Linked DNA regions of Xenopus tropicalis. The protein of the gene in region 1 purifies or fractionates together with the protein of each later gene. This does not show direct contact. Links are inferred from orthologs where the notes say so. Each region holds a gene or a part of one and is shown in the gene's direction. Other genes may lie near its edges.

What was found. The genes of interacting proteins can lie anywhere in the genome.
Region 2: the proteins of ccnd1 (region 1) and cdk5 purify together in Homo sapiens (co-immunoprecipitation; 4 studies listed by BioGRID and IntAct, counting the BioPlex papers as one, with this or other methods). This does not show direct contact. The link is inferred for Xenopus tropicalis from reciprocal best matches to the Homo sapiens genes CCND1 and CDK5.

Annotation. Positions count from the first base shown.
Region 1 is NC_030680.2:14,450,222-14,452,576, forward strand, and holds part of ccnd1 (G1/S-specific cyclin-D1), read left to right. Parts: intron 1-709; coding exon 710-858; intron 859-2,355. UniProt on the Homo sapiens protein: Regulatory component of the cyclin D1-CDK4 (DC) complex that phosphorylates and inhibits members of the retinoblastoma (RB) protein family including RB1 and regulates the cell-cycle during G(1)/S transition.
Region 2 is NC_030682.2:1,367,045-1,371,355, reverse strand, and holds the start of cdk5 (cyclin-dependent-like kinase 5), read left to right. Parts: upstream 1-1,467; 5' UTR 1,468-1,497; coding exon 1,498-1,534; intron 1,535-4,311. UniProt on the Homo sapiens protein: Proline-directed serine/threonine-protein kinase essential for neuronal cell cycle arrest and differentiation and may be involved in apoptotic cell death in neuronal diseases by triggering abortive cell cycle re-entry. Interacts with D1 and D3-type G1 cyclins.

The DNA of each region.
Region 1 (2,355 bases):
GGATGGACAGGAGCCAAGGGCTGGCAGCTCAATGATTACAAAAGGACTTTCAGAGGTGCGATCTTGGGCAGAATGGGGCATTTGCTGATTTTTGTTTTGTTTTGTGAAAGCTCTCCGATATTTATTACTTACTGCTCGCTGTCGCTTTGGAACCCCGGAGACAATCCCTCGGCTCCTAACCTTGAAATGGGTCCAGGAGTTTAGAGAGCATTACCAGGTCACTTTGAAACGCCGCGCAAATGGAATTCTTTTGTGCACGGAAGCGAAAATGAGTCGATTGTGTTACATGAAAAGCGTAATGACTTCTACTGTACCCGGAGCGGCAGAGGCACAGGCAGGGGAGGGGAGGGAGGCACTGTGACCAGTTCTTTTCATTTCTGGCACGCCAAGCCTGCTCCGGGTAATGAAAGGTTCAGGGAGTCAGGGCGTACAACACCACTTAAGAGACGGATTTCACCAGCCTTCGGGGGTCTGAAGAAGGTTAATAAAGCTGAAACGTTACTGTTATGAAAGACTCTCTGATGCTTGTGCTTTGTAATCAATCCCCCTCACCTTACCCAAGTTTGATTGAACTTTAAAGTTGCTCTGATGAGTAAGCACTTGGCTCTTCCCACTCTATATATATATATATATATTTATATTGTAAGAAAGTGCTGATAATGCTCTTGCTCTCAATCTAATACGTTCTTCTCAAATTCCTCTCTTGCAGATATAAAGTTTATCTCCAATCCACCCTCCATGATCGCCGCCGGCAGTGTTGCAGCAGCCGTTCAGGGACTAAATTTGGGAAACGCCGACAGTGTCTTCTCCACTCAGCGCCTCACGCTTTTTCTATCACAGGTCATCAAATGTGACCCGGTAAGTCACACAGACCAATTATAGGAGATTGTTGCTTGGCTTGAACTCCTTTGCTTAGTGGTTTTGTAAAATGGTGCTGAAGTTTTGTTGGACCCTTGATATGCTGACATTCCAATGCAGTGGCTCAGCAGGAAAGGCCTTGAGCTGTGGCTGAGGGGATGGGGGGGCTCAGTCTGAAAGCCAATGAAAATTGGGGAGACTGGCCATTTGCTTTTCTACATAAACAAAAAGCATAGCTTGAAGGTCAGTTAGGGTGAAGCTTGTGGTCAATATGTATTTGATGCCCTAGATATTAGATGTTGAACAGTGTAAGCTGAGACTTTTAGTTGAACATTTTTGCTCTGGAATGTGTGGTTTGGGGGCACGTAATGAATCCCACAGTATGCACAAAACAAAGGCTAAGTAAAAAAAAAAGAAAGATCACATCAAACACAGGCCTTCTGGCATCTCCTGACCTTGGTTTATAAAGGCTGGTGGGATCCTCATTGTCCTGCCAAATGTGATGGACTTTTATGAAGCCATCTTTTAATGATCTCCTGGGCTTTTTACAGTAGCTGGTATTCTAACTGGGTGGTTTGCCCTCCCTCCCACTTCTCACTCCCAGTCCTCCAGTAGATGCACCTCAGTCATTTGGGAGCAATAAACCTTTTCCTGGCAATGAAAGCGACCAGGAAGAATAGGACAAGCAATGGTGGAAGTCAATGATCCATATCACAAAGCTGTGAAGTTGGGGCGGCTTCAAGCTTTGTTCTGGAACAATGTCTTGAGTCCACTACAGAAGAACGCTTTAAAAACGTCCTTGTTAGGTTCACAGGCGACTGGTTAATGGAACAAGCCCCTCAAAGATGTTTATTGAGCTTCACTTAGGGCCCGAAGGTAGAGATGTGTGAAGACCAGAGAAAGAAGAGCTGCCTTTCAAGAGGCCCCCCCAGGCCCAGCAGGGTTGTAGTTATACATAGAGGCTACAAATTGGACTTAGCTTATACAAGGATTATACAGAGATGGAATGTTCTCTTCATTGTGCCCTAGTCATTTGCTGTTTATTTAAGACCTATAGCACACCCTACTCAGAAATGGGGTTTATGTTATCCTTATGTATATTCTTTACAATTTTCTTTGCTCATTCAGCGTATTGCCTTTCCTCTTTGTCAGCTGCCATTGTTCCTTTATTGTTGAAATGAGAAATATATATAAGCACTAGCCAATATCAACCTGTCTTTCCAGTAGTGCCGCTACCAGTAATATACAATATGTCTGTCAACTGTTGAGTGTTAAGTCGTCAGTGTGCTTTCATTTCTTATGTTCCCTTTGTTTAACAGAAACATTACATAGGTCCCTCCTAGATTCCGTTATGGTATCTAAGATGCCCTTCTTGATGACCTCCCATAGCCATCCTGTTGTGTTATGTTCCCCTTATTATTAGTTATCATAGGGTTGGGCCTTGTGGTCAAGAAGTACAGTGTGACCTTATTTGGGCTCAAACCTCAGTTTCTCATG
Region 2 (4,311 bases), on another chromosome or scaffold:
GCCCCATTCTGCCCCCCCCCCATACAGCACAGCTAATTATTATTATCACAGTCACCCCCATACCTGTAAAAACATCACGGAGCTCTGGCACCCTGTGTGTGATGTCATAGGGCACTGGCACCCCGTGTGTGATGTCATGGAGCACCGGCACCCTGTGTGTGATGTCATCGAGCACTGGCACCCTGTGGGTGATGTCATTGAGCCCTGGCACCCCGTGTGTGATGTCATGGAGCACCGGCACCCCGTGTGTGATGTCATCGAGCACTGGCACCCTGTGTGTGATGTCATAGGGCACTGGCACCCTGTGTGTGATGTCATGGAGCACCGGCACCCCGTGTGTGATGTCATCGAGCACTGGCACCTGTGGGTGATGTCATTGAGCCCTGGCACCCCGTGTGTGATGTCATGGAGCACCGGCACCCCGTGTGTGATGTCATCGAGCACTGGCACCCTGTGTGTGATGTCATAGGGCACTGGCACCCTGTGTGTGATGTCATGGAGCACCGGCACCCCGTGTGTGATGTCATCGAGCACTGGCACCCTGTGGGTGATGTCATTGAGCCCTGGCACCCCGTGTGTGATGTCATGGAGCACCGGCACCCCGTGTGTGATGTCATCGAGCACTGGCACCCTGTGTGTGATGTCATAGAGCACTGGCACCCTGTGTGTGATGTCATGGAGCACTGGCACCCTCTGGGTGATGTCATTGAGCTCTGGCACCCTGTGTGTGATGTCATGGAGCACCGGCACCCCGTGTGTGATGTCATCGAGCACCGGCACCCTGTGTGTGATGTCATGGAGCACCGGCACCCCGTGTGTGATGTCATGGAGCACCGGCACCCTGTGGGTGATGTCATTGAGCTCTGGCACCCTGTGTGTGATGTCATTGAGCTCTGGCACCCTGTGTGTGATGTCATTGAGCACTGGCACCCTGTGTGTGATGTCATGGCGCTCTGACACCCCGTGTGTGACGTCATGGAGCACCGGCACCCCGTGTGTGACGTCATGGAGCTCCGGCACCCCGTGTGTGATGTCACAGAGCTGAGGGAGAGGTCTGTACCCTGCTGTATGGTAGTTACCGGTCTCTACCCCTCAGCCTGATACACACAAAGCAACACGCCATATCCCTCTGTAGGCGCATTGTGAGGCCAATAACCCCAGGATTCCATAGCTCAGTGCCCTACTCCCACCCCTATTTCTCTCTCAAACACTATTAGCAGCTTTATAAGGAAAGGACAGCGCTACTGCAGGGGACAAAGCTGCATAGATGGGTGTACCAACATGGCCGCCTCCCCGCCCCCACAAAGCGTCCCATTCCTACTGTCTCCATGGTAACCGCTTCTCCGTGACAGACTGGGCGGGGCTAACCCTGCCGCACAGCGCTCAGTAAGAGGGGAATCCAGTAGCACAGATTGGATTGGCTGAAGTCTCCTTCCGGGGCGGGTCTGTACGCATGCGTACTGAGTGGAACAGTGAGGGCGGCCTGCCGGTGCTATCATGCAGAAGTACGAGAAGCTGGAGAAGATCGGGGAAGGTGAGTGGCCCCCGGGCCGTGTGTCTGCTGGGGGGGGGGCCCTCCGGCTCCTTCTGCTCTGTCACTGGCTGGGACTCCCGTCACTTGTAGTGCGGCCTGGTCCGTATTCAACTACAACTCCCAGTATCCCTCCCCAGCAGCTACTGTGTGTGTGTGTGTGTGTGTGTGTGTGTGTGTGTGTGAGGGACAGAGAGCAGGGAATTGTGGGTAAGGGATACCTGGATATGTGTGTGTGTGTGTGTGTGTGTGTGTGTGTGTGTGTGTGAGGGACAGAGAGCAGGGAATTGTGGGTAAGGGATACCTGGATATGTGTGTGTGTGTGTGTGTGTGTGTGAGGGACAGAGAGCAGGGAATTGTGGGTAAGGGATACCTGGATATGTGTGTGTGTGTGTGTGTGTGTGTGTGTGTGTGTGGGACAGAGAGCAGGGAATTGTGGGTAAGGGATACCTGGATATGTGTGTGTGTGTGTGTGTGTGTGTGTGTGTGTGTGTGTGTGGGACAGAGAGCAGGGAATTGTGGGTAAGGGATACCTGGATATGTGTGTGTGTGTGTGTGTGTGTGTGTGTGTGTGTGTGTGTGTGTGTGTGTGTGTGAGGGACAGAGAGCAGGGAATTGTGGGTAAGGGATACCTGGATATGTGTGTGTGTGGTGTGTGTGTGTGTGTGTGTGTGTGTGTGGGACAGAGAGCAGGGAATTGTGGGTAAGGGATACCTGGATATGTGTGTGTGTGTGTGTGTGTGTGTGTGTGTGTGTGTGTGGGACAGAGAGCAGGGAATTGTGGGTAAGGGATACCTGGATATGTGTGTGTGTGTGTGTGAGGGACAGAGAGCAGGGAATTGTGGGTAAGGGATACCTGGATATGTGTGTGTGTGTGTGTGTGTGTGTGTGTGTGGGACAGAGAGCAGGGAATTGTGGGTAAGGGATACCTGGATGTGTGTGTGTGTGTGTGTGTGTGTGTGTGTGTGTGTGTGTGGGACAGAGAGCAGGGAATTGTGGGTAAGGGATACCTGGATATGTGTGTGTGTGTGTGTGTGTGAGGGACAGAGAGCAGGGAATTGTGGGTAAGGGATACCTGGATATGTGTGTGTGTGTGTGTGTGTGAGGGACAGAGAGCAGGGAATTGTGGGTAAGGATACCTGGATATGTGTGTGTGTGTGTGTGTGTGTGTGTGTGTGTGTGTGTGAGGGACAGAGAGCAGGGAATTGTGGGTAAGGGATACCTGGATATGTGTGTGTGTGTGTGTGTGTGTGAGGGACAGAGAGCAGGGAATTGTGGGTAAGGGATACCTGGATATGTGTGTGTGTGTGTGTGTGTGTGTGTGAGGGACAGAGAGCAGGGAATTGTGGGTAAGGGATACCTGGATATGTGTGTGTGTGTGTGTGTGTGTGTGTGTGTGTGTGTGTGTGTGTGTGTGGGACAGAGAGCAGGGAATTGTGGGTAAGGGATACCTGGATATGTGTGTGTGTGTGTGTGTGTGTGTGTGTGTGTGTGTGGGACAGAGAGCAGGGAATTGTGGGTAAGGGATACCTGGATATGTGTGTGTGTGTGTGTGTGTGTGTGTGTGTGTGTGTGAGGGACAGAGAGCAGGGAATTGTGGGTAAGGGATACCTGGATATGTGTGTGGTTGTGTGTGTGTGTGTGTGTGTGTGTGGGACAGAGAGCAGGGAATTGTGGGTAAGGGATACCTGGATATGTGTGTGTGTGTGTGTGTGTGTGTGTGTGTGTGTGTGTGGGACAGAGAGCAGGGAATTGTGGGTAAGGGATACCTGGATATGTGTGTGTGTGTGTGTGAGGGACAGAGAGCAGGGAATTGTGGGTAAGGGATACCTGGATATGTGTGTGTGTGTGTGTGTGTGTGTGTGTGGGACAGAGAGCAGGGAATTGTGGGTAAGGGATACCTGGATGTGTTGTGTGTGTGTGTGTGTGTGTGTGTGTGTGTGGGACAGAGAGCAGGGAATTGTGGGTAAGGGATACCTGGATATGTGTGTGTGTGTGTGTGTGTGAGGGACAGAGAGCAGGGAATTGTGGGTAAGGGATACCTGGATATGTGTGTGTGTGTGTGTGTGTGAGGGACAGAGAGCAGGGAATTGTGGGTAAGGGATACCTGGATATGTGTGTGTGTGTGTGTGTGTGTGTGTGTGTGTGTGTGTGTGTGTGTGAGGGACAGAGAGCAGGGAATTGTGGGTAAGGGATACCTGGATATGTGTGTGTGTGTGTGTGTGTGTGAGGGACAGAGAGCAGGGAATTGTGGGTAAGGGATACCTGGATATGTGTGTGTGTGTGTGTGTGTGTGTGTGTGTGTGTGTGTGTGTGGGACAGAGAGCAGGGAATTGTGGGTAAGGGATACCTGGATGTGTGTGTGTGTGTGTGTGTGTGTGTGTGTGTGGGACAGAGAGCAGGGAATTGTGGGTAAGGGATACCTGGATATGTGTGTGTGTGTGTGTGTGTGTGAGGGACAGAGAGCAGGGAATTGTGGGTAAGGGATACCTGGATATGTGTGTGTGTGTGTGTGTGTGAGGGACAGAGAGCAGGGAATTGTGGGTAAGGGATACCTGGATATGTGTGTGTGTGTGTGTGTGTGTGTGTGTGTGTGTGAGGGACAGAGAGCAGGGAATTGTGGGTAAGGGATACCTGGATATGTGTGTGTGTGTGTGTGTGTGAGGGACAGAGAGCAGGGAATTGTGGGTAAGGATACCTGGATATGTGTGTGTGTGTGTGTGTGTGTGTGTGTGTGTGTGTGGGACAGAGAGCAGGGAATTGTGGGTAAGGGATACCTG